Linked DNA regions of Stegostoma tigrinum. The protein of the gene in region 2 purifies or fractionates together with the protein of the main gene of each other region. This does not show direct contact. Links are inferred from orthologs where the notes say so. Each region holds a gene or a part of one and is shown on either strand. Other genes may lie near its edges.

The links.
Region 1: the proteins of dldh (region 2) and pdhb purify together in Homo sapiens (affinity purification with mass spectrometry; 3 studies listed by BioGRID and IntAct, counting the BioPlex papers as one, with this or other methods). This does not show direct contact. The link is inferred for Stegostoma tigrinum from reciprocal best matches to the Homo sapiens genes DLD and PDHB.
Region 3: the proteins of dldh (region 2) and dlst purify together in Homo sapiens (affinity purification with mass spectrometry; 3 studies listed by BioGRID and IntAct, counting the BioPlex papers as one, with this or other methods). This does not show direct contact. The link is inferred for Stegostoma tigrinum from reciprocal best matches to the Homo sapiens genes DLD and DLST.
Region 4: the proteins of dldh (region 2) and dlat purify together in Homo sapiens (affinity purification with mass spectrometry; 4 studies listed by BioGRID and IntAct, counting the BioPlex papers as one, with this or other methods). This does not show direct contact. The link is inferred for Stegostoma tigrinum from reciprocal best matches to the Homo sapiens genes DLD and DLAT.

The regions. Positions count from the first base shown.
Region 1 is NC_081364.1:52,374,822-52,382,093, reverse strand, and holds the start of pdhb (pyruvate dehydrogenase E1 component subunit beta, mitochondrial), read right to left. Parts: upstream 3,007-7,272; 5' UTR 2,910-3,006; coding exon 2,874-2,909; intron 2,769-2,873; coding exon 2,709-2,768; intron 1-2,708. UniProt on the Homo sapiens protein: The pyruvate dehydrogenase complex catalyzes the overall conversion of pyruvate to acetyl-CoA and CO(2), and thereby links the glycolytic pathway to the tricarboxylic cycle.
Region 2 is NC_081378.1:53,699,814-53,706,736, forward strand, and holds the start of dldh (dihydrolipoyl dehydrogenase, mitochondrial), read right to left. Parts: upstream 3,002-6,923; 5' UTR 2,928-3,001; coding exon 2,889-2,927; intron 2,159-2,888; coding exon 2,086-2,158; intron 1-2,085. UniProt on the Homo sapiens protein: Lipoamide dehydrogenase is a component of the glycine cleavage system as well as an E3 component of three alpha-ketoacid dehydrogenase complexes (pyruvate-, alpha-ketoglutarate-, and branched-chain amino acid-dehydrogenase complex).
Region 3 is NC_081363.1:17,465,026-17,471,983, forward strand, and holds the start of dlst (dihydrolipoyllysine-residue succinyltransferase component of 2-oxoglutarate dehydrogenase complex, mitochondrial), read left to right. Parts: upstream 1-3,943; 5' UTR 3,944-3,959; coding exon 3,960-4,106; intron 4,107-6,958. UniProt on the Homo sapiens protein: Dihydrolipoamide succinyltransferase (E2) component of the 2-oxoglutarate dehydrogenase complex. The 2-oxoglutarate dehydrogenase complex catalyzes the overall conversion of 2-oxoglutarate to succinyl-CoA and CO(2).
Region 4 is NC_081385.1:12,808,268-12,815,314, reverse strand, and holds the start of dlat (dihydrolipoyllysine-residue acetyltransferase component of pyruvate dehydrogenase complex, mitochondrial), read right to left. Parts: upstream 3,011-7,047; 5' UTR 2,923-3,010; coding exon 2,686-2,922; intron 970-2,685; coding exon 868-969; intron 1-867.

The DNA.
Region 1 (7,272 bases), on a different chromosome or scaffold from region 2:
TGGGCATTTTGATTTTCAGTTAGTTATCACTCCATTTATCAGTTTCAAGTCCTCCTCCCAGATACTTTGCCAGTCCAAAAGTCATTCCCAAATATTATATGTTCTGTTTGCCCTTTCCTCAGTCCTACATAAATAGTGGTGAAAATTAACAAATTCACTAAGAAACCATAAACAAAGCTCACAATTAAGGAAAGCACTTCTAATACTATTAAACATAGCAACAAAGGAATTAGGAGAGAGTAAGCAATCGAGTCCCTCAAGTCTGCTCTGCCATTTAACATGATCATGGCTAATCTTATCCTGGTCTCAACCCCACTTTCCTGTCTACTGCCCAAAATAACTTTGGAGAGGCTGGCATCCCACTTTACTTGCACGTGAAGCACTTGACAATGGTCTGGCTTTCTCAGAGTGAGTAGAACCTCTGACGCATCTGCAAACAGGGAACTTATCCGGAGGTTCACCTGGCTGACGTCGCTGTAATCACTACATCCCTCTCCCACTAAATTCAAGGATATAGGCCTGCCTCGTAGCCTCTCCTGAGGCAGTTTCACACCAAGTCTGGTTCGTCTAACTCAGACTCTGATAATGGGCAGCGTATACTGGACCAGCCTACCTCTCATGCTCGGAGCATTTTGGAAAGCCATCCTCTATCAGGCAGCGAAGGGGTCAAGGCTACAGCATCCGCATGTCCATTTTCATTTGCTGAAATTTCTTCCATGTTAGATGGAGGGAGGAAAGAACGAACTTATGGGTTTCCATAATCTTTCCAGTTGTTGAGAGATCAGTTAAATTTTGCTCCTGCCTGTTTGAAAGTTTACAGGTTTCATGGTGTCCACGTTCTTGTTCAGAACCGTCTCACCTACCCGAATTTTGTAGGTCGTGGATCTGATCTTGCCTCTTAACCAAGCAAATAACCTTATCCTACGTTTCTATAAATGCTGTGTCTTCAGTCACCCATTCACCTGCCATAATCTGTTCCTCACAACAGTCCAATGTCTGAGTATGCAAACTACATGGTGCTTTATCACTTTCTATGTCTTATTCTGATTCTATTAGTGTGTAATCAATGCCAATCATCCTCAAGAAATGTACCCTAACAGTTTGGTTGCTGTGATGTGAAAACACTATTGCTCCCTTACACTATAATCTATAGAGAACATTCCATTAATATCTTTCACATTTTTGAACTCCTCTTTTCCATGGTATCAACACCAAACTTCATCCCCTGAAGTAAACCGTCTCTCTCACGTAGAAGAGAGATGTCCGGCATTACTGTTCCTGATACCGTTTCACACTTCGACCCCCTCCCACCTCGGGTCTGAGAAGATCAGATTTAATCTGCTGCAGAATCTTATCCCCATGAACAACGCTGCTGGAGCTATCCTTGTAGTTGCACAAGGGTGGTCTGATAATCAACAGTTAGGTATTGAGCGAGGCTACAGGCTGTTTCTTTAAACCTGCCTTCAAGGTTTGGACTGCTCTTTCCACCAGACCACTGCATGATGGGTGGCATGGAGCTGTGTTTAAATGCTAATGCCAGTCAGCTTTATTAAATACTCAAATTCCCTGCTGGTAAATGATGGCACACTGTCCATTGCCAACACTTCCAGGAGCCCAGTACTGCCAAAGATGCAACTTTTCAATTGTTGTTGCCACGTTTGATGAATGAACGCTATGCACACCCAACTACTGACTGGGCATCCACTGTGACTAACATTGTTGAGATCATGAAAGGACTGGTGTAGTTGACTTCTAACAGAGACCAGGGTTTATCCAGCCATTCTCACAAACATGGGGGAGCTGCTAGCAGTGATTTTTGTCCTAGTTGACACTCTGGGCACTGTCCGAACAATACAGCCATATCTACATCCCACTCTCGTCACCCCTGAAACACTTCCACCGCAGCCCCGGTATCCCTTAAACTGAGTTATCAGTCATTCGCACGTGCATAGTTCTCAACACTGGTCTGGCTTCCTCAGAGCCAGGTCTAGTGAGCAGAACCTCTGACATTCTTGTTTATATCTGTCAGCCAGGGGCTCCCTGATTGGACCACATTAACAGCCACAATCAAGGACATCATATTCTATGAGGTCAACTTAGATGAAGTTGTTGCAATGACTACAGTCCCCACAGGCCTTTACCCACCTCTCATCAGAAATATATGTTTCTTTCTTGAATCTGATAATTGATTCCACCAATGATGCACTCCCAGAGAGGGACCTCTACAGGTTTCACAACCCTCAGGAGGTCGTTTCCCCTCAATTCAGTTTTGAGACCCCTTTTCTCTCACTGTACATTTACGACCTCTTTTTCTAGGCTATCCAGAGGAAAACATCTATTCGACGTCCACTGAAATCATTAATCCAACCCAAAAAAGGGGGCTTGTTTCCAGTAGCGGCGTTCAATAGAAGACCTCCGAAAGCATAACCGTTAATTTCACAATACCGGAGAAAAAAACTGCCGTTAAAAACAGGAACATTAAACTAAAGCCGGAAACAAAAAAAAGGTTGGATAAACTCGGTAGGTCTGGCAGCATCTGTGGAGATAAAGCAGAGTTGACGTTTTAGGTCCGGTGACCCTCCTTCTTATAAAGGAGGCAAAATTCCTCAGACTCTTGACTAAACAAACAGCAGAGATAACCGGCCGCGGTAAAAAAAACGACAAACTCCTCTCGTTCACAGGCAGTGACCGAAGGTGACCCTTCTTACCTGAGCGCCGGCGACAGCCGACCGATGAAACCTCTTCCGCGACAACACACCAAAAGTACTCTGTACAAACAAACACAAGTCAGCGTTACTGCAGAGATACAAAGATCCGGAAGCCGCTGCAATTAACCGATGAATTGCCGCCACCATTGCAGGGAACGCTCGCACCTTCCCTCCACGGAGCAGGCTCCTCAGCGCCGCCATTTTCCCTGCACCCTTCAAGGAGTCTCTTACTGACGTAAACTGCTGCGCGCGATAACGGAGGTGGGGGGGGAGGGGCCCTGACTGCTGGCCAATTGTAATATATATTAGAAGGGACCGTTTTGTCGTAATCGCGCACAATGTGGGGCGCGACGTGACCACGCCCGCCCGGCGGCGTTCACTTTCGCTGGTTTATCACCCCGCCCCCCCCAAAACCCACAGACCGATCCACCGTAGGCCCCGCCCCTCTCCCACGGCCGCCTCTTCGTCCAGGCCCCGCCTCCCCCGCCCAATCAGTAGCAAAGCAACAAATTGCCGCGAAAATTCAGCACGTCTGGCAGCATTCTCTGGAGAGAGAGCAGAATTCAGCATGGTAGGGGTGACCGATTGGTGGGGGTGGAGGGCAGAGGGAGATGGTGTGAGCAAGCTAAGAAATGGGTAATGTCCAGTCTGGAAGGAATCAAATGGTTTCTACACTAAACGAAATAGCAAATTACTGCAAACGCTGGAGGTCGCGGCAACTCAGACAGCGTCCATGGAGAGCCAGCGCTGCAGCTTGCATACCTCGATACCCTTAAGAAAGAAAGTCTTTTCTTGAGGCGACGGAAGAGGCAAAGGGTGAAGTGAAGACTTGGGACCGGCGCAGCTTTGAGACAGGGTGAGTGAGTCGGTGTTGCTGCATTGTGGAGTGGAGTGTGCACATTCATGTCGGTGCACGGCGTTGATGGCTCCACGGGTGCTGACTGACCCCGGCGTTTGTCGTTTTCAGTCTATATCTACTAACCTTTTGCAAACTACGATCGGGTCTGACGAACTGCAGCCGAACGCGAAAGTATTAACTCTGCTTTTTGAGCACGGACGCTGCCACACGTTCGCCCGGCGATTTGTGTATGGCCCGCCGTCGCATACTCCGCCCCTGTAATCCCTCCTCCCCCCGCCAAATCCCGCCCCCACAATCCCGTATACACACCGCCTCCCACTCCGCGACAAACCCCAGCTCTCTGATGAAGGGTCTAGGCCCGAAACGTCAGCTTTTGTGCTCCTGAGATGCTGCTTGGCCAGCTGTGTTCATCCAGCCTCACATTTTATTATCTTAGAATCTCCAGCATCTGCAGTTCCCATTATCTCTCAAACCCCAGCCCCAGCACAGTTCCCCTCCCGCCCCCCCCCCCGCAAACACAAGCCCCGCCTCAATCCCCCGGCAAACCCCAGCCCCAGCACAGTTCCCCTCCCGCCCCCCCCCCCGCAAACACAAGCCCCGCCTCAATCCCCCGGCAAAGCCCAGCCCCAGCACAGTCCCCCCCCACTGCAAAGCCCAGCCCCAGCACATTCCCCCCTCCGGCAAACGCCAGCCCCAGCACAGTCCCCCCCACTGCAAAGCCCAGCCCCAGCACAGTCCCCCCATTGCAAACCCCACCCCCACCACAATCCCCCCTGCAAACCCTGTCTCCACAATCCTCCCCTGCACTCCCTCCCCACAACCCCCACCCCTCTTTAGGTGGTCCACCCACCACCATTCACCTGTCATATGTGACCGTTTCCCGCTCCGTCCTGGACACTAGCTCCATCATTCCTTCCCTTGCTGTACCTGACAGGCCTTCAAAGCCACGTAACCCCCTACCTCCGGCCAGCTTCACAACTGACCCCACCCCGGGTCTGGAATGGATACTCTTCCCCCATCATCGGCCTCTGGGCTCGACGCCTCATTCCCAGACCACACCAACAATTAAGCCCCCAACCCGAACTCACACCAGCTAACAGTCTCCCAGAACCGACCACCCTCTCTGTCTGACTGATCCAATGACATTTTCCGACCCGAATGGAACAGACTTTCCCCATGGCCTTAGCCCCACCCCACCCTCCGCTTCCCTGGGTCCGATCCACCCTCACCAGTTACCCTGACCTCTCCGGAACCGAGCAGCTCCTCGCCTGCCTGACTGAGCCATGAACCACCAAATGCTGGAATCGACAGTTCCTGACCCAAAACACTCACTCATTCACTTACCTGGTACCCTACCCACCTGCCATCCTACTCAGATGGCATCCAACTATTCTGGCATTTTACTTCCCTCACCCAGTTGCCACTCAACCCCAGTTATTACTTACAGTTTTATAGAAGTTGTCAAAGTGGCTGGACATCGAAATCTCAGCACTTGGCACACTGATCGCTGCGTGGTTTTCATGCTATTTCACTTTGTTCGTGGATTTCACAGGGTCACAACAGGGACTGCCACCTTCAGGAATCATCAGCACAAATTACTTCTAAGGGTAAATGGGTAATTTTAATCTGGTCTGGATTGGAAATAGTGTTTCCTAATAGTCAGGCTTTAATTTCCACATCCAGCTTGCCCCATGACTGTTCAGGAGCTGTATACTTCCATCAAGTCACTTCATGCACTTTTGGACTCGGGTAAAAACCATCCCACCCAACCTATTTTCGTTAGACATGAGATAATGGGAATTGCAGATGCTGGAGAATCCAAGATAACAAAGTGTGTAGCTGGATGAACACAGCAGGCCGAGCAGCATCTCAGGAGCACAGAAGCCTCTCACCATCCCCCTCTCTCTGATGAAGGATCTAGGCCCAAAACGTCAGCTTTTGTGCTCCTGAGATGCTGCTTGGCCTGCTGTGTTCGTCCAGCGACACACTTTGTTATCTTCATTAGACATGTGCTTGTTCTGGGTATCATTCGAGCAAACTGACTCTGAATCACTCCAATGCATTTACATCCTTCCTTAAATAAAGAGACCAGAACTGCACACAGTATTTGAATTGTGAACTCTCCAATGCGCTGTGTAGCTGAAGTATAACGTCCTTACTTTATGATCATTTTTCTTGTATAAGATGTGTATTCCATTAGTTTTCTTAGTTATCTGTTGTACCTGGATAATAACTTTTTAGGGCTCATGCACTAGAACACCTAGATCTTTCTGCACTTTGGAATTTTGCGGTTGTTCTCTGTTTAGGTAAAATACAGTTTATTCATTCTGCACTCTGACTGTCCCAGGAGGAAATTTCCAGCAATTTAACCCCCACTCCTCCACGAATCACACCATTAGTATAAATGTTCATGACTATGATTCAGTCATCCACATGGTCAATTGCTTCTCTTTTGTAACATTATCCAGAATAAAACAGCTACACCGGGTTCTTTGATGAACTCAAAATAATGTATTTCTTATTACATAAATCTTAGGCTTACAAATAAGTGGCAAACACAGGTTAACAGTGATCCAGAATTAGATTGATTCCAAACACACACATTCTCACTCAACACAAAAAGACAACAGCCTGTCCAGAGACGATGCATTAACTAAACGCAAAAGGGACAAAAGCACCACTGTTGGCCCAGTGTTGAAAACACATAGAATATGATGACTTCGTAGTCAGCTAGGTTTTCTGTTGATGAAATCAAATTGCTGACAGCCGTTGGAAAATGATTGCAATCAACCTTACCAGAGTCTTTGGAAAGTAGTCACAGTCCAGTTTTCAGGCTTTACATGATAATAAGAAATATTTACCTTTAGGAACTTAATCAGGTTTCCATCAAGCCTTACCGAGAAAATGATTTCAGGAGAGAAGTTTGCTGCTTACTGATCATTGAGAGTGTAAAATAGAAAATGGAGTCCAGAAAGTGCTGCATGATAATTACTAGCATAGGAGCCCCCCTTTGTGATTTTTTTTTTCCAAAACCATATTTTTGTGTATCTGTGGTCATAAACCAAATTATTTTCTCCTTGAATTCATTGCTTGGCTTCTGTTTTTTAAAAAAAAATTCTGTAAACATCAGGTGGGTACAGCACATATTAAATTGTTGAATTCATTCTTTGTAAGACTACAGAGTACCTTTTTCAATCCAGGAAATATCCAAATTGTTTCTTATCTTCTCCTCTTTCATATAGTACTGACAGAATAATATATATTCCTAATACTACCAAGGTGAAAAATTTGTCTGCCAGGCTTAATCTATTAAGTTAGGTTGAGTTAACCTAACTTAAGTCTGCCACTCAACCAACTTACTGGTCTGCAACTTCCTGATGTCCTCTTCACAACAAACAAAAAATTAGCTACCATTTCTTCCTTTCCCCCACTTAAGTAATTGATGAAAATTGTAAAACTTTGAAGCTCCATCGCTCACCACTGCGGTACTCCAGTCGTTGCATCCTGCAAATCAGGAAAAAAAAATCCATTTTAGCCTATTCTGTCTTTTTGTGAGCTAACAAATCTTTAGTCCTTCTTTGCATGTTGTCCGTACACCATGTGCTTTTAATTTACACAGTGACCTTCTATGTGGTACCTTGTCAAATGCCTTCTCAAAATCCAATTATAGTACAGCAATGGACTGCCCCTTATCCACAGCATGAA
Region 2 (6,923 bases):
ATCCTTACTCCCAATTTCTCCACCTCGTCTGCTCCCAAGATGGAGCATTCCACTGCCGAACATTCCAGATGTCCTCTTATTTCAAAGGACCGTAACAACACCCGCTTCAGAGGTCGATAATGCTGTCAACCGCTACTCGCATTTTCCCGCACCTCTGCCCTAACCCAACGAAAACAAAGACAGAATCCCCCTTGTTCTCACATCACCACAGTAACCTCCAGCTCTAACGTATCATTCTCCGCCACCTACAATCTGACTCCACTACCAAGGGCATTCTTCCCTCCCTACCCTTATCTGCCTTCCACAGAGACCGCTCTCTGTGATCCCTCGTCCGTTCCACACACCCCACTAGCCCCACCACCTCCAGCACCTTTCCCTGCAACCGCAGGAAGTGCTACACCTACACCTCCACCCTCATCTCAATTCAAGTCACCAAGCAAACCTTCTACATTAGACAGAAGTTCACCTGCACATCTGTCAACATGGGCTCTTGCATCCGCCGCTCCCGATATGGCTTGCTGTTGTATTCAACGAGACCAACCACAGACTCAGGGTGTAGGCCCGAAACATCAGCTTTTGTGCTCCCAAGGTGCTGCTTGGCCTGCTGTGTTCATCCAGCTCCACACTTTGCTACCACTTTGTACAGCACCTGAACTCTGTTTGTAACAAACAACAACACTTTCCAGTCGCGAACCATTTCAACTCCCCCTCCCACTCCCCGGGTGACATGTTCATCCTGGGTATCCTTCAGTGTCACAATGACACCACCCACAAATTGGAGGAGCAGCACCTCATACTCCGCCTCAGGAGCCAACAACCTGATGGCCTAAATGAGGATTTTACCATTTTCAAAATCTCCCCACCCCCCCAGCCTCATCCCATGACCGATTCTCCTCCTCATCCCTGCCTACTTGATCTGACAATCTGTCCATCTTCTCTCCCACCTATCCACCCACCCACCTCACTGACTAATCCCCACCACTCTCTACCTACACTCACCTATCGCCATCCCAGCTACCTTCACCAGCCCCACCCCTCCTCTTTGTTTATTACTGAGGTCCCTTCCCTGCTCCCCATTTCTGAAGGAGGGTGCAGGCCTGAAACGTCAACTTTCCTGCTTCTCTGATGCTGTCTCGCCGGGATGTGTTCCTCCAGCTCCACACTTATGTTATCTGACTCCAGCATCTGCAGTCCTTACTATCTCCAAATGACATCCCAGTGTTTTTATCCAGAAACTACTAAACAGAGCAGAGCAATCAGCTATTATATTAGAATTGACAAGAGACTTTCACAAGCCCCATTGATGGCTTCAAACATTCCTCTAACACAAGGACTGGCAAATAATACAAATTTAGATACTTTTACCTAACTTTGGGCCTGAAACTATACCTTAAACCACAAATAGTAGACAATATTAAACAGTTTATCCTCACATGGGAATTGTGCATAAAACTAGCATCAGATTCAGCTCAAAGACATACAACAAACTTTTAGAAAGGCAGCCAAATGAGCTCACAGAGGAGTAAAAATAGACGCAGCACATAAAGCACGCCTGAAAAGAAAAGACAGAGTCACAGATGTATGGCATGGCAAAAGACTCTTCAGCCCAACCTGTCCATGCTGACCAGATATTCCTAAATTAACCTTGTACCATTTGCCAGCATTTGGCCCCATATTCCTATAAGCCCTTCCTATTCATATGCCCATCCTTTTAAATATTCTAAATGTACCCACCTCCACCACTTCCTCCAGCAGTTCGTTTGATACTTATTTCAATTAAACTGACTTGAGCAACAGCAGACTTGAATCTGTGCTGTATAACTTCTAAGATGGATTTAAATGTTTAGCTAGCCTAAACAAAAAAGGTTTATAAATTTATCAATGCACTACCAGTATACAAGTCCAATCCCACAAATATATTTTTCTGCTCCCTTTGCAATCCATAATCCTTTTCCATTAGGGTTAAAGTACACCACGATATTATAGTGAAAGCATTAGCCAGACATTACAAAGGTTGAAAAATCATTGGGAAAATCAGCATGGAAATGATTAGAAGGTGGAACTCTCGCCCACAGAGTACCATACCTGGTGCAACATCAGCATAGGTCCGCAGCCCGACTGCTGAAAGACCTTGGAGTCTACGACAGGCATGTCCAGTCTGTGTTCAGAAAGAAAAAAAAAATCAACATTAGAATCAAACTTCAAAACACAATGAACATGCCACTGCATCTTCAGTACTCTTTTTTGCTCACATCTGCTAGACCTTCTTCTCTCACACGAACGAAGGTAAACATTGATTTCCTTCCATGCAGTGGTTGACAGAGTACAGTAACCTGGGTCACAACTCCTTTCAAGCGTTAAAAACCCCATACAGGCATGCTGTCTGAAATTTCAATCAGCAACAAAAAAAAATCTGATGGCATTCAGCTGTTAGCTGTATCATTAAAATTGTGTGTATTTGGCAATATATATTGCATTCACTTCATATAATTCTATGACAGTGACCCAATAAGGAAATACCAGAATAAATTAGCATTATCATTGCAGAGGGATCATGAGGAGTGGAAGGGTGTAAGGTAAAGACATTAGGAGGCTGCAGGGTCTTGTCTTGGGGCAGGACAGAAGGGGATGGAAAGAAGAAACTCCAGGATTTTCGAGAGGGGGCAATTCGGGGTTTGGGGAGGAGGGAGGGGTCACAAGGTCTAGGGACACGAATTTTGAGTGGGGGGCAGGGAAGAGGCGTCTCCAGGATTTGGCGGAAGGGGCGGAGAGGGGCCTCTGGCATTTTAGGGGGGCGGGAGGGGTGGTGAAGCCTGCAGGCTCTGGGCCTGATCAGGACGACGCCTTTTGAGACGGGGGGAAGCAGCCTCTGGGGCACCAGGACTGACCTTGAGCAGCTGCCGAAACATCAGGCTCCAGATCCACATCGTTCCGTGCAGCGAATGACCCGGAAATACGTCACCGCCCTAACCCCCACCCCGACGCGCCGTCCGCCGCTCCGATTGGCTGCCCGGGTGGATGGGGGCGTGGCTAGAGGCGGTGAGCCCGCGAGCAGCTGGTGATAAGTGAGACAGTGACTAACACAGTACGGAAGGTTGGGCTCCACTGGCTGTACTTCACAACTGACAGCAGCTAGGGGCTAAAATAATGATATTGTTTTACTGGAGTCGGGAGAGCAGACGCAGCCCGGAAAGGAAGGAAAGGAAGGAAGGAAGGAAGGAAGGAAGGAAGGAGGGAAAAGAAAGAAAGAAAGAAAGGAAGGAGGGAAAGGAAGGAAAAGAAGGAGAGAAAGAAAGAAAGAAAACACCACCCACCCGTTGCGAAGGGCCTGGAACCGGCATCCCCAGAATATTCCCTAGTTCTGCATTGATTGTAACAGGAAATAACACCACTAGGTCATTGCCTCCCCTTTCTTTCTTCCTGGCAATCCTATCTACATTCAACTTGATGATGAGAGATTCCTGTATTAGACCTTGTCAAGTCACATGCTGAGCCTTTTGTGGATTCTGGATAAAGATCATGGATAATGTTTGAGGGGAGTCGGTTAGCATTAGTCACCGAAAGCCTTCAGTATCAACAGTATGAAATATTGGTCTCCCACAACCATTATCACGGAGAGATGACATCATGCCTCTGCGGAGGAGTCATTATGGACTAGGGTTTTGGGTCAATGTTGCAGTGACCTGCTGAATACCCTGCCTGATCTTCATTGTGTCTGTTGCTGAATCTAGTCTCTCTGGATGCTGTTTGACTTGGTCAGAACTTGTGTGTACTAAAGGATGAGGAGGGGGGAATTCATCTCCTTGTCAGGCTTTTGCCCCTTCCTGTTTGCTCCAGCAATTTCGGTCATAGTGCACGAATTCATTGCAGTGGAAACAGCGAATTTGGATAGCCTTTCCTTCTGCAGGTTTCTTGGATGGTCTAGACTGCTGGCTGAACAAGGAGCCCTCAACAGCAGCTACGTTAGCATTCCCCAAACCCCTGCAAAAATTATTTCAGACCAGGCCCAGGCTGTGTTAGTGTAAGGATTGGAACAGGGTTGGCCAAGTAGATTTCGTTGAGTATGAGATTCCTGACTGGGGTTGCTAAACTGGGTCAATCTGGAAGCCCTGGTTGACAGATATAAATAGGCCTCTCAGAGTGTCTCCTTACACTAAGGACTGCCCCTGAACTATGCACATGTAAATAAAGGGTGACCTGATGATGGGAAACTGGCCTGAGTACAGTTATTTTAGTTAGCATAGTGGATCAACTCATCACCGTCCACTGTTTTACACCCCCATGCATGATGGAACTCATCTATCGTAATGGCCAGTTCCTCCCTCAAGGTTGTAACCTTAGCTGGTGACAGGCATCTATGTGACATTGTGAACTCCTCTTTAACCACAGCATGGATTCCCCTCTTACCTAATGCTTATTCAGTTTTCATCATGCTCTTGTGACTATACACATAGACTTTTCTTCACTATTCAAGAAAGGGGAGGATTTCTTTCAATTACATTCAATTACATCAAAAGTCACAGGGAAATCATTCTTGCACATGCTTTCCAAGAACACATCGAACTTGTATATCCCACAAGCTGGGAACACAGCTATCCCTATTTTTTGACTAATTTTCATCTGGAATTGTTTAATTTTGGTTATACAGGGATGTGGTCTGCTTCAGGGAGGTAATACCTCTTGTAAATTGCTCCTCTTAAAGTTTGTTAATGTCATTGTGAAGATTAAGAGAAATGAGAGATGTATTAATTGTTTTTCAGCGCATATAAAAATGTGGACAGTTGGGATGTTGAAGGAAAGCTGTGAGACTGAGCTAGACAATAAACTCTGACCAATAATGAAAAGTTTGTGTGTTAGTTTCTACCTCCCCAGTCAACCTGGAAACCATTATCAGTCGGAGGAGAGGATAGTTGCCTGAAGGGGAGGTGGGAAGCTTTTTTATTCCAAACTGAGGATTATAATTTGATTTACTTTATGACAGTAATTATTACAGTAATTAGTGTTCACCTGGGGAAGAATGATAGAACAAAGTGTGAAATGTCAAAATATGATTTCCTGTTAAAGTTCTGTGAAGATGAACTTTTATGATTATTGGAAAAATGAAGTGACCACATGGTTGTGTCCTTCCCAAGAAATAAAACAAGGTATGGCGTTGGCTCTTGTGCTCCTGAGATGCTGCTTGGCCTGCTGTGTTCATCCAGCTTCACACTTTGTTATCATGGCGTTGGCTCTTGTTGCTTCCTACTAGAAGCAAAATCAGTTCTAAAGTATTTTCAGAACTAGAGGTTCAAAAATTGAACGTCTAGGAACAGGAGTAAGTCATCCATCCCTCATACCTGTACCATCATTCAATGAGATCATGGTTGATCCGTGGCCTAACTCCATTTCCTGCCTCAGGCCCAAATCTCTTAAGCCCTTCCTTTAACACAAAAATTAACTGTCTGAGATTTAAGATTAACAACTGACCCAGCATCCACTGTGGCTTGTGGAAAGGAGTTCTAAACATCCTTTTACTTTAGTCCTCTGGATATAAAGCCAGCATTCCATGAGCTTTCTTGATTAATTTCTGAACCTGTTTGTGGCATTTTAAAGATCTATGCACTGGAACGCCAAGTCTTTTTAGACATCCACTATATTTAACTTCATACCATTTAGAAAGTACCCTGATGTGACCTTTTTTGGTTCAAAATCGATAACCTCACACTTGCTTACACTGAACTCCATCTGCCATTGTTTTGTCCATTTACTTAGTCTATCCATATCCCTTCGTAATTTTATGCTATCATCTAACTACTTACAATACTGCCCAACTTTGTATCATCAACACATTTGGATATATGACTTTCTATATCATTATCCAAGTCATTAGTAAACAATGTGAATAACTGAGGCCCTAATACATCCTTGTGGACAGAAGTCAGATGAAATTAAGTTACAGTCCAACAGGTTTATTTGAAATCACCAGCTTTCGAAGCGCTGCTGTTCATCAGGTGACATCCTGCCAACTTGAGTAATCACCCATTGTGTATACTTTCTGTTACTCTCATTCAAACAGTTTCCCAGCCATGCCAGTAATTTCTCCTCAATTCCATGGGCTTCTACCTTAGTTAACAGTCTCTTATGTGGGATTTTATCAGATGCCTTCGAGAAATCTCTATAAACACTGAGTAGAGACATTCACTTGTCCACTACCTTAGTCACCTCTTCAAAAAGCTCTGGGATTTGTCAGACATGACCTACGTCATGAATCTTGCTGGTTCTTCTTGATTAACTGAAAAATTTTCAGTTTTTAGTTATGGCCCCTCCCCCATCCGCCCCGCTTTATTATAGTCTCCAACAATTTCCCCACCACAGATATTAGCTAACTGGTCTGTAATTCTCTGGTTTTCCTCTTTTGACTTTCTTAATAAAGCAGGCAAGTACAATTTTCCAATCAAGAATTCTGTGTCTAGGGAACTCCGAAAGATTACAGTTGGGATGTCTACAATGTATTTCCCTGCTTCCTTTAGAACCCTCAGATAGAAACCATCAGGTTCTGGGAATTTGTCATTTTTTAGTTCCATTAATTTCCTCATTACCAATGTTACGTGTGCGTTAATTTTGTTTAGTCCCTGTCCCCAATCTGTTATTGATTTTCTTAGGACTTTTGGCAATCCTGCTTTTCTACTGTAAATACCGAGACAAGGTAATCATTTAACATGTCAGTCATTTCTGCATAGTCATTGACAATATCCCCATTTTCAGTCTTTAGTGTGCCACAATTGTTCCTGACCACACGCTTTCCCTTTATGTAATTATAACATTTCTTCTTACTGATTCCAATGTCCCTGGTAAGTTGTCTGTCAGCATCCATTTTTAAAAAATTAGCTCTTATAAGCTACTTTGAGGCCCTTTGCTGGGCTTTGTAACTTGTCCATCTAGCA
Region 3 (6,958 bases), on a different chromosome or scaffold from region 2:
ATCCACCTCCACACACACAGGCAGTGAATTCTACACCCAAACAACTCACTGCAAGAGTTTCTTTTGGCATGATCCGATACAGAGTCAACTTTTTGTTGCATCATTCCTCCAAATGAGACAGGGAAGAGATGGACAATTCTCAGCTATGCATGGAAATAGATATGGAGCTCCTTCATCAACAGCCAAAGTAACAGCAGGATAACCAATAAGGGAAACTACACTTTATAACACATGGACCACTACTTCAAAGCACAAAATTAAAAATTAGGTGGTGGAATGACTAATCTACAATTGTGCCAATGATCCATAAGAGAAAACATTAGTAAAATAACGAGAAACTGTTTCCTTTCCCTGAAGGAAAGTCCAGTGCAAGGGAGCATTCTGCTTTGAAAGAGGACATTGTTCAGCCATTTTTGGAATACTGTATTCAGTTCTGGTCACCTTACCAGATCTTGTGAAACATGAAAGGGTTCAGAAGTGATTTACAATGATGTTGCCAGAGTTGTAAGGTTTGAGCTATAGAGAAGCTGAATAGGCTACGGCATTTTTCCCCTGGAGCATTGGAGACTGAGGTGTGGCTTTATAGAGGTCTATAAAATCATGATGGGTATGGACAGGGTGAATAGCCAAGGCCATTTCCCAGGGTAGGTGAGTCCAAAACTAGAGGGCATAGGTTTAGGATAAAAGGAGAAATGATTTGAAAGGGAGCCAAGGGTCAACATTTCCATGCCGAAGATGGTGAGTGTATGGAACGAGCTGCCAGAGAAAGGGGTGGAGGCTGGTACAGTAAGAACATTTTAAAGGCACCAGGATGGTTATATGAAGAAGAAGGGTTTAAGAGGGATTATGGGCCAAATGCTGGCAAGTAGGACTGGCTTAATTGGGCTGTAGGGTCTGTTTCCACACTGTACACTGAATCTATAAAGGGTCACTATACCTGACACTAACTCTACTTTCTATTCACAGATACTGACAAACCTGCTGAGTTTCTTCATCAGTTTGTTTTTGTTCTATTATACAAGAGACCATCCTGTTGGTAGACTGAGTTTATCCAGTTGCTAAACTCAAAAGGCTTCCTTTTTTTTTGCTACATTGTGGTCATTGCTCAAATCAGCCAAACACCTTTCAGTTTTTAAGACGGTCATGCGGGACTCCCAGTATTAACTTCACAGATGCTGCCAGACCAGCTGAGGTCGATTTTCTCCTTTCTTCGGCATTTTCAGTATCTGTTTTAGTAACATTACAATGGGTTTCTGCATTGCGAGGCTGGAAGGAAAGAAGAAACTACCCACTCGACTGGCCTTTGCTATTGGAACTTCTCTATCCAGGACACGAAGATAAAATAAACTTAGCCACAGTAGCGTACCTCCACACAGGATTCAAATAGCACACACACTCTGAAGGTGAATAAACAGTCCTAATCTTCCTTATGGCTGAAATTCCCAAACTTGCAACAACAGAACAAAAAAAAAATTGCTGGAGAAACACAGTAGGTCTGGCAGCAACCATGGAGAGAGAAATACATACAGTCAACACTTGAAGCCCTTCTTCAGTACTCCAAACATACAGCTGGAACTGGATGGGAGAAGAGGGGAAGGGGAGGTGCTGAGGACGAAATAACCTAGACTGGAGGCTGTTCTATATTCTGTCTAACGTCCTAGCCCACGTGCAGTACCAAGCTAAAACAAAAACTTAAAGAAATTAAAAATTTTCTATTCCATTTGGCCACAGCACTGATGCAGTCGTTAACCTCACATTTAGAACCGGATTCTAAAGTGTAGGTTGAAAATTGAACCCAATTTTTCCGTTTCAAATACAGGAAGATCATAAGTGATGATGTACGACTATTACATTTAATGATGTTTTATGAAGGAATGCACTTATTTTTTGCACTTTTACTACATTTCAAATACAAACATAACACATTTATAGGTTAATCAGCGCCGACTCTCCACATATAAAGGATTTAGTTTTTATTTATGACTTTCTTAATGTTAAGTCGGAATTCGTAATGTCTGTAATTACTGACCTTGCACGAGATGAGACACAATGCGGAGTGTTACTTAAATTTTAAGTTTGTGATCGCAACTGCTCTGAAATCGTTTGTAAAATGCAAGTAGTATCTCGTATCCTGCGAAACACGGAAGCAAGCAACAGTTTGCAGCTAATAACTAATAAACCTGCGACACCTAAGAGATTTCAAATCGGGTTAACAGCCCGGCCCCTCTTCGCATTGACTTGCTGCAGATATATCTATCCTATCATACATTGAATTATTCTTGCCTTAAAAAGATATCAACTGGATGAAAATTCGAAATAACTTCGTTCAATTAAAGGCTCCAAAAGGTACATTTTCTAAAAAAGTTATCTATGGTCTCCCAAATAAATATATTTCAAACGATTTTAATATTTCTAAGGACGTCAACGAAATCTTGCATAGGGCAGCTTCTCCAGTCTAAAAGTAATCTCCTGGATGATTTCAAATCAACAGCGTTAAAAACAATGATAAAATCTGCAAACAAAAATGTGGCCAGAAAGAAATAAACAAACCTTGGTCTTAGCCAGAATAAAATACCATTGAATAAAGGCGGCGTAATTTCATTAACGCACTAACAACAGAATTTACGGAGAATGATCGATTTGCCGGCGGCTCATCCACATAAACCTTGCTTGATACCTGTACCCAAGATCAACTTTCACTCACAACGCACTTTAGTTAAAAACAAAATCAGAAAACGCAACACGGCAAAAAGAGAGTTATTTGCCCCCGAGAGCAATTGGACTTTAAAAATAATATTACAAACGAGACTGGGCACCAAGTTGAATTTATCCCTTCGCCAGATGATGTCTATGCAATAGAAGAGCAAAGTGCCTTGAGATGGCTTCATAAATCGTTAGCACAGAAACACAGCCAAGACGGGCCACTGAGTTTTATCTTGTTAAAACAGTAATAAAGAGAGCGGAAAAAAGTCTCAGTCATCCGTCCATAATCTCTCAAGTTAGCAACTGATAGTCAAACAGGACGGCAGTTCTTGCCCCACACCTTCTAGGCCAGAAGACGAGACAATGCCACTGCGCCAAGAGCCCTTATTCAATCAGGAAGGCATATCAGAGACAAGTATATCATTTAACGTAATTATTACCGTGTCGTTAATCCAAATAAGCAGCAATTAAATAACAATAACGAACATGCATTATTAAGGGGGAAAGACTGGTGATAATACGGTAACCCACACTCACCATAAGCATTCAACATTTAGGGCAAGGGTGATGATTGTCCGGGAACACAACACTCACCATAAAGTTCAGCATCAAGGGTAAAGAGTTCTGACAGTACTGCAGCCCACATTCACGATGAACATTAAATATTAAAGATAAGGATGACTATAATACAGTAACCCACACTCACCGCACAACTCTCCTCTCAAGTACACTTATCACTCCAGCAACTCTCGTCCGCATTCATTCATCCTCACTCCTTAAAAGGAGGAAAAGGGCGTACCCACAACCACCAATCCAAAGCCACCTACTAACATCTATGCAAACGACCAGGGTGTGGCACAGCCCAAGAGCGTAAGGGGGTGGATGACATTTTAACGAGGCAAACATCTAAATTATATGACAGTATTGTTTTAAAGAAAAATTAAAATAATGTTTGTTCCTAAATATTTAGTTTTAGATATATACATTGTTAGTTTGCACCTCTTTACTACCGACATGGTGTTACAATATTTGTTAACTATCCCCCTTATTGTTAATATTCATATAGTCCAGCAGCAGACTGGGCCAAACCATTCTATCAAAGTAAGTGTATCATGATTACTGAATCGAACACTCATCGAAAAGTCGATTTTTCGTATAGAGTTATGATGGCTGTTACTCGGGTGAGAAGCTGAAGCGGGTTTATTTCTAATATTTCAGACAATACACCACATCACCGCCTAACTTCCCTCCACCCCATGATCTTTGGTATTGGTATGCGCCAGCTGGTTTCCGGTCTCGGGTCTGTCTGCTGGAGCTGCAGCGCAGCCATGTTGTCTCGTTCCCGGTGCCTGGCACGGAGTCTGAGCCGCTTCACCGCTAGCCGCAACCCGGGGGGCTTGCAGGTAGGGGACACTGGAGAGATTCTCCGACCCGGGCGGTCGGGAGGGTGGACGGAGCTCATCTTCGAGCCGGTGGGAGACAGAGATCGCCGAGGAGGCCCGAGGCCTTGGCCAAGGACAAGCTGTCACCCTGAGCAATAGCGGGGAGACTATGCTATGGATATGTTTGACTGGGTCAGCTTTCACCGCTCCCCTCTCCCGGGGTCGTTTCCCATTATCCTCAGCCACGTTCCACGGGCCTACTTTCACCCCTACCCGGGGCCGGCCTCCTCCCTCAGGGTCGCCTCTCCTCCTTCTAGGCTCCGCTCGCATACCCGCCCACCTCCCTCCTCCGCCGGGGTGAACTCCTCCCCCTTCCCCGGTCAATTCTTTTACTACCACCTTTCCCATCCGCAGGTTCGCTCCTTTCCCAATCTCCACCCCGGGGCAGACTTCTTCACCCACCCTCCTGAGGTTCCCTCTTTTCCCACCTCCTTCCCCTGATCGGCTCGCCCTCCCCGCTCCCCCCATTAACGTTTCATTAGTCCTTTCAGAATTGTTAATATCCAGCAGTACTTCACTGCTGATCACTGAGGTGAAATGTCGTATTCAAAGTTATGTACAACATTGTTTTATAGGGAATGATGAGTTAGGTGACCAATTTCTTTCTGTGATTGTTGGTGAAAAAATAATTGCTCATTAAGTAGGAGGACTCCCTTTCACTTCAAAACGATCGTATTTGCTTTGATGTTATCCAAAAGGGACTGAAGACGATTTGCCCTACATATAGTCCGAATTGTAAGCCGAAACAAGTTATTCTGATTTGGGAATAAGGGAATTTGTTTTGCAAGTGTGAAGGAATGGTGATCTATAGAAATGAGAAATATAAAAGGCAGTATCTGTATGGTGGATGATTTGATTATTAAATGGGGGAAAGAAAAGCTACAGGTGTAACTTCTACAAACTTGATCAAATATTTGCCTTGCCCAAAAGGTTAACCTGATTCTTTTCATTTTGAACCCTGGTAGAAAGGATGTGAGAACTTGTATTGTACTTTAATGATCTCTATACATCTTGTAGTATTTTGCAATAAATGCATTTTTCAAGCATTCTTTTGATCAGATAATTTGCTTAGTGAAGTTGGCTAAGGGATAAACATTGGTCTGCACAAATGTGGAAAATTTTCTGGTCCTCTTCGAAATAGTATCATGGGATCTTCTGCATTGTCTGGGAAGGCAAATGGTTGCTCAATTTATAATGTCCTATCTGGGAGGCAATACTTGCAGCAGTGCAGCATTTCTTTATTCACTGCAATATGAGTCTGTTCTTTAACTAAATCTCTGGTGTGCACCTTGAACTCAACCTTCTGACTGAGATATGATAGTGTGACTGTTGAGTCACAGTGAACAGAGTAGTTAGTGATCTTGATCCAAGTACAGTAGCTACTCAATGGACAATTTTTGCCTATTTTTCCATTAACATAAATTCTGCAAAAGGTGCTTTGAAGATCCCTCAATAGCTCAGTGAGTTTTTTCAATGTGTATTTGAGCTGTGCGGATCAGAAGGTTCCATCTGCAGTCTCTGCTGAGCAAACTTTCACCCAGAGGAACCTTTGTGTTACTACAATTGTCTGACCTCACTGCTTCATTCCCTGTTAGGATTCTTGCAGATTAATGAACCTTAGATCGGATTAAGGCCAAATCCAGCTGGCTGTGAACTGCCCGTGTTGTATTTATTTGTAAAGCCTCTCAAATGAGCTTTAGCCACTAAGGTGTGATATTGTAATCTTTCTGGTGTTTGTAGAAAAAAAAATTGCTTTCATTTATATGCTGTGTTCTATAAAGATTTATAAGCTATCCAGGAACCCATCAGACAACAATGGTTCACTGAGAGAAGGCCTGTAATGTAAAATACACTTCACAAATAGGTATAGGAAATGAATACCAACCTGCAAAGTGAGATGCTAGGATGGTACTGAAAGTTTACGCAGTTTGAGAAGATTCTAAAGGTGTCAAAGGAACTTCACTAAAGAGGAGCAAGGCTGCTGAAAGCTCTATCATAGGTAGTGAGGGGAGAAGGGCATGGAGGCAGAATTCACAACCCATGTATAGAGCTTCAAAAGATCTCAGAAAATCTCTATGAAGTAATTAGAGCAGGGCATTAGTGAATCAGCAATGGGTGAGGTTGATTGTTTTTTTTAGAAAAAGCACTGGAAAATCTCGTTAGCTATGGGAGCGTTTATGGTGAGAAAAACAATTAATATTTCAAGGCCAAAGTGAATTTTTGTTCTAAATAAGTCACACTGGACTTGGAAAAGTTCGTTCTTCCCCTTGCTACGCATACTGCCAGATCAGCTGTGTTTTGCTTTTATTTTAATCTGCTGTTCTTTTATTTGGATGTAGCAGTGTTTTGGCTAAGCTGGAGTCCATTAGAAATTGATGATGAAAAGACAGACGACGTAATATAATCTGGAGGCAACGCAGGAGCAGATAGCGTTATGTAGTTTGAAATAAATCGGCTTGGTGTATGTGACCAAAAATATTGTTAAAGTGGAAATTTTCAAGCTGTGGAAGGAGAATTAATTTAATGGAAAAGAAGCATAGCTGATTTAAACTGGTAGCTTCAGACAGTAGCAGTCTATCTAATGCATATTATCTAAGCATGAAGTGAATTCTCTAGTGGCCGTGTATCTCCTGGAGGCATTTTGTAGCATGAAGCATGCATGAACAGAACGTTATGGGCGTGCTTAGAATGTGTTGTTTGATATTGCACCCACTTCGGTCTGATAAATATACTGGTGCCAGTTATGTTAAATGGAGGATATTTTTTGACTGTTCTCCATTCAGGCCTTAGTTAGGATCATGTTTAGGGTCAGA
Region 4 (7,047 bases), on a different chromosome or scaffold from region 2:
AACTGATCCGAATACCTTTTAAAAACTTTGTAACTATACCTACATCCACCACATTCTCTAGAAGTTCATTCCACATGTAAACCATTGTGTAAAAAATAATGTTATCACTCAGGTCCTTTTTAACTTTCTCTTCTCATTTTTAAAATATGCCACCTAGTTATGAACTCTCCCAAGAAGGGAAAAGACACTAGTCATTCACCTTATCTCGGCTTCTCATGATTTTATGAACTTTAATAAGGTCACCTCTCAACCTCCTAAGGTCTGGAAAGGGGACTATTTTCACTACTGTTTTCATATCTCAAATCCTCGATTCCTGGAAAAATCATGGTAAATCTTTTTTGAACCCCTTCCAATTTAATAATATTGTTCCTACAACAGGGCAACCAGAAATGTACACAGGACTCCAGAAGAGGCCTCACCAACATCCAGTGCAACCCCCAACAATGATTTTCCAACTCCTATACTCAAAGGCTTGAGCAATGATAGCAAGCAGGCTAAACACCTTCTAAACTGCCCTGCTCACCTGTGTTGCAAGCTTCAAAGTATTATGAACCTGAACCCCTAGGTCTCTATTCTACAACACCACCCAGGGTCCTATCTTAATTGCGTAAGTCCTGTTTGTATTACCAAAATGCAATGCCTCGCATTAAACTCCAGCTGCCACTCCTCAGCACTGTGATCCAACTGATCACAATCTCTTTGTAATCTGGGATAAGCTTCTTCACTGTCCACTATGCCACCAATTCTGGCATCATCTGCAAACATTCTAACCGTGCCTCCTATACTCTCATTCAAATTATTTATATATACGCTTGTTAAAAAGTTCTTTAATGCATGTTGACAAAACAGGGTGTTAACTGCACATACCTCTGCTATTAAATCTCCCTCATTAATTTTATCACCTTCCTTTTTCTCCCACCGGGCTATAGTTCCCATTTGCATTGTGGGAGACAGAGCAGGCAATGCCACCTATAAATAAAATAATGATGAGTTACACAACACTTCTGTAACTGATTAAAGAACATCTTTGAGAAAATATCATTATTTTAACGAGTCCATTATTTGATCATTAGTCTAAATTTAACTGTCATGACAAAAATTACAGCAGAAACTAAAGAAATGGTAACCGATAAATACTGTGATGAGTTCAAAAGATTTTGTACATCAATCAGGGGTTTCATTGCAGATTAAGAGATTTATAGATTTCAGGATGGCTGGAAATACATCAACTTGCTTTTAGAACATCGCATCAGATCAGTAAACAGGTCTCATTTCTCTGAAAACACATACTTAGTCGAGAAACTTTCAGCTAACCTGTTCAAAACCTGAACAGTAACAAACTGGGCATTCAGCGTACAATGCAACTTTGACTATAACTCTCAACTCTGGTCAATTAGAGTTGTGTCCAAATCAAGCCACGCATGCTGTCGTACAGTACAGTAACAGGAATTACAAAAATCATTCTCAGTACTGTATTTCAAGAAAACTGGTCTGAACTTGCTATAGTTAGAAAAATGCAGAAACCAAAATCAATACAACTCAACAACGCAGGAGGTTTCACTCATACTTCAATTCGACACTTACTTCGTCCAAACTCCTCATGACCTGTGTCAAACATTAACACAGGTAGGCTACTCATGTCAGCATACAAACACAACCATCTCAGATTTCACTAAAAATAAATCTAAATTCTACTATGCTAAATGATTTGATCATTTTGATGCAGATGCCTCAAGTTATGATTGCAAGCCAAGGGATTTCTAGATATTCTCCAGAATCTACTGTAGTACACAAAGCAATAGCTGAACACACAGAACTGAATTTGTTTTACCAGGAAGAGAAAACCAGATATAGCAGCAATAAAATACTTCATAAACACATCAAAATATGCAAGACACCCAACAACTCAAAATAACATGGATGACAAAACAGCAGAAACTGACCCAAATATTACTGCAGTTTATGAATTAATACAACAGTTTTCATAGCCACTAACTGAAACTTCCTTACAGCTAACAAAGTACTTTTTAAAGTTACTGCTGTCAGAATAGAGGTAGCCAATTTATACGCAGCAAACGTTCACAACTACAATAACTATGTAAACTGCTGTGACAGCAATTTTAGAAATAAACATTCATCAGGGGTACTAGGGACAAATCACCACTTCTTAAAATACTCCAACCGCTGCCACCATACAGGGACAAGTGCATGCACCCAGTCAGCACCAACTCATTCCACTGTCGACATTACTCTACACTTGTTGTCTACCTCCATTCACCATCCCTATTCCCAAAATCTCAGCACATCCATCCACCCTCAAAGCCACACAACTCTCCGCTCATCACAGGGGAAACTTCACACGCGCGAACTGGCAGAATGGGCAACCATTCCAGGGCAGTGGCTGCCGAACATGGTGCCACTGCCGGGTTTTTCTTTCAACTTCTATCCAAGGGAAGGCGGAGCCTCAGTTTCAGCATCTCATCCAAAAGGCCGTGCAGCAGCCACCGTGCTGGAGTGACAAAAAGCCTTGGCATTTTTGGGGCTGGAACCCAGATCTTGGCAATCAGTGGAGAACATATAGCTACAGACAGAACAGGAAAAGCCTCAGGAGCTGACGAAGGAACGGGAATCAAAAGGCTGCCACCTCTGTGCTCTAGCTCTCCCTATTCCCAAAATGTTGCTCACCAACTGATGTGGGGGGAGGCTGTACCATCTCCTGGCTGTGGCCGTGACCGGTAACGCGCTCTTGGGCAGCAGAAAGTGCTGGGGGCCGGGGCCCTGCCTCCCGCAGGCGGTGAGCGAGACCCAGCAGCGAGAAGGAGGCGGCCCGAAACCGAGCCCCGCAATCGCCGGTCGGCGCTCGGACCGGGAGCCGGGCTTCAGCCGGACGCACGGCCTGAGCCTAGCGGCCTGACGGAGCATGTCGAGGCCGGAGAACGGAGCTGAGAGGGGCGTACAGGCTCAGCGTCTCCTCAATGACCTCTGCCGTACGGCAAAGGCCACAGTCGTAAAACGGATGTGACATCACGGAGACTCACTCTTCGGTTCCATGGACATCCTTTACCTTTCACATGATGACGTGGCACCTTAGTACGCCGCAGGCCGTTCAGTCCATCGTGACTGCCTCAGCTGTTCACAGTACCATCATTACCCATTCCCTTCACAGAATCACGCAGTGTTTCGGTGCAGGAGACCATTCAGGCCCTCGGCACTGCACAAGCTCTTCAAATGACCGTCATTACCTATTACGAAGATCCTGCTTTTTCCTTATACCTTTCCACATTATTTATTTAAATAAAAACAACAACATGCCTGGACGTGTTGTTTGAAATCTTTATGGGTCTCAAGGCATGCTTAGTCACCTACCTCTCAACCAGGAGGCCAGGGTTGAAGTCATTACCTGTTCCAGAGGTGTGTAATTACATCTCTGAACAGGTTGATTAGAAAATACCTACTCTAAGAAGAGCGTTCTTGTAGTGATACTGTCCCTACCACCAGACCAGGAGGCCTATGATCAAGTCCCACCTCGTTCAAAGGTGTAACACAACATATCTGAACTGTTTATTTATAAATATCTACTGTGAGGAATCCTACCATTGGCAAGTTATTGGCAAGTATTACTTTCCAGCATTACTGATAATTTCTTCTGTGCCATCACTAAAATTAGACATGGGTCAATAGAACTTTAATTAATACAGTTGGATTTGTCCACAGTCTTACAGAGAAGGCACAACTGAGTGATTTTCCACAGTGTCACGTAGATGATAACCTTGTAGGAGTACAGGAAGGATTCAGCTGGTTTCGGAGCACAGGTCTTGACATCTAAAAAGGTTCCTGGAACTGTACTGCAGGGAAATTACCTAGTCGTCCTGACTAATATTTATTCCTCAAATCAATATAGAATAATAGAATCATGATTTTTTTGTATTTAATTCCCCTTGTGACAAGTGATACAACTCTGTTAGGAGGAAAGCTATGTTCTGACATCAGTAAATTTGGCAATTATATCTTCATTAATGCATTCAACCAGCCCAATCATTCAACCAACCTTCTATGTATGTCAGTGTACCAGCCCTTACACCACAAGCTTTTATTATTGCAATAACTGCTAATGGGGTAGTTCAGAAAATCAAATAATCACTAGAGTGGAAGCAGGCGAGTAAGCCTGTTGAGTCCACACCAACCCTCTGAAAACCATCCCACCACTTACCCTATCCCCATAACCCTGCATTTCCCATGGCTAATCCACTCGGCCTACACACCCCTGAACACAATCTACCTAACCTGCACATCTTTGGACTATGGACTGAAACTGGAGCACCTGGAGGAAACCCACGCAGACATGGTGGGAATGTCTGTGTGGAGTTTGCACAGTCACCCAAGGCTAGAATCAAACCCAGGTGTCTGGCACTATTAGGCAGCAGTGCTGACCACTGAGCCACCATGCCACCCTAGCAACAAATTATCTAGTCATGATTGCATTGCATGCTGTACACTCATCTTCATATTCTTTTTTAAGAATTCCTTTAGCATTACAGTCATCATATTAACTGCCCTTCGCAAGATCAGTGTTGACATTTTATGTGACTGTAACAATGGTGCATTCTCTCTTTCTGTCCTGATTAGCTGCTCCAGTCTCAAAGCAGTCAACTATATCCATCCTTCAGCACTACCTTGTCTCACCTGTATGGTTCATTTTGATATCTAACCTTCCATCTGACAAGAGGCACTCTAGCCCCTGTGAACATCCAGTTACCTTTCGTATGCTCCAAAGTTTATCATAACCTCCCTGTATGACTCTTTTATACAAAAATACTGATCATGACTTGTAGTGATGGGCCAGTTTTGATATACATGATAATAACAACCAGTGAAATTTACCATTGGGTCAATTCCCCAACAGTCAGAGTGTTATCTCGTACTTAAAATAGAAGTCATTCTTTTTATTTCAACTTAGAAGTTCAATGCTTTACCTCTTGACTCAAGTCTCTTGTTGCAGGTTCAACTTGGCAGTGTATGGTGTTAGTATTCTGCGAGACCTTGAGTTGTGCTTCAAATACTTCATTATTTTAGAAGATGGCATATTTCCAGATCCGGTGCCATCCCTCCCTCTTCCTGAGCATATCTTGCAATTTCTGTTGTTGATGCGGCGCATTTGCATTACTCAACTTAAATTCTCTCTGGCCAGTAGGCTTAGGTCTTTGCCTGTAAATGGTTTTGCAGTTGACCAGTAGCATTCCACAACTGCTAGAATTCTGATTCCAACTGCAAGATCGTCATTCCCCTCCCATGAATTGGAATCAGTCCAAACTTTTTTTATTTTCCAATTTTCCTCAACAGATATTCTATCAATACCAGTCCAACAATCTGTCAAGAGTTGTGTGCTGATTCATTTCAGTTCAAGTACAAAACAGCAACATCACTTCCAATAACAGCAATGATCACTTAATTATGATGTTCCTGCTTGAGGGAATCCAAAATTAGGGGTCATATGTACAAGATAGTCACTCAAATCTAATAAAGAACTTAAGAGAAGCTTCTTTACTCAGTAGTTATGATGTGAAACTTGCCATGTGGAATTGTTGAGACAATTATAATGGATATATTTAAGGGGATGCTAGATAAGAACAAGAGGGAGAAAGGAATCAAAAGTTACACTAAAAGCTAATGCTGGACGACAGGAATCTCATGTGCAGCATTAATAAAAATATAGGCCCCTTGGGTTGAATGGCTCACTTCTGTGCCGTAAATAGTGAGCAACTATATATAAAATTGCAACAACTCTATACATATAATCTTCATCTTTAACACAATAGCTGTTCACAATTGAGAGATAAGGGCTTTTTTCAGGATAACACAGAATAAAATCCCTGCATAACAAAGGAACTTCATACATATTTTATTGAAAATGCAGTCTTTTTTTAAAAACACCAGTATCTTTATATAGTCAATCCTCATCATAACAAACTTCATTTTTTTTCCTCTGGATGCCATCATATGGACTAATTGAGTTGATGCAAATCAAATAATCTTGGTTATAACAAAACAGTTTCTTATAATAGATATAAACTAAATACACTGCACCATTTGAAATGTTTAGTTCCGTTAAAACAAACTGCACAGCAGTAATTATTATGGCACTTACGCTAAATGTCTAGTACTATTGATGTCTTTTGACCATAGCGCCAGAACATATAATATCCAAAACAGTGGCAATACAAACCTTTTTTTTAAATTAAATAGCCCGTCGTGAAAAAGTAATTCAAATTTGATAAATATCCAATTATAAAAAGCTTACTGTTCCAGTTCCCAACAGATACAACTAAATTAGTTACATCCATATTCAGTTCTGGAGTTAATTTTATAAATCTCCAAACAGTGGTATAGCAGTCACATAATGGTCAATTTAAAAAAAACTAAACAAAAAACAGGAATACTGACTCTGAAAAGCAATCATACTTGAAACATTTGTGATATTATTATGATTTTTTTAAAATGGAACAGAATTACCAAGACAGAGAAATCCTTCAAAGACTGCACTTTTTCCAGAAATCTTAATCTAGAAATCCTATTTCTTCTTTACCTAACTTCTAATTTTCATTATTTAATTTTGTAGAAATCTGATCCTAAATGAGATCAATAAAATTCCACTTGGCTCTAAAGATCAAGGCAGTATCGCTTGCTGTATGTGACACATTTTGAAACCTGAATTGTTTATCTAACCAATGTATCACAGACCAATATATTTGTGTATGGCTCAGTTTCATTAAAGGGAGAACACACACACATGCATTATGCCTTTCATTCTGGGCAATCAAATTGCAAATAATAAATTGGCCTCATTACACACAAGACTAAAAATCCATACCTTTCTTGTAATCTTATTTTAAATGCATTTATGGCCTTCATAAATGCCAAATCTCCAGTAAGCTATTCTGTGACAGGACAGCAGGGGGAACTTGATGCTCACCCAACATTTCTTTTATTGATCGGAGAGAAGTCAGTACTTTCCGTTTAAACTTGCAAGTCAAAAATTTCAAGTTGACA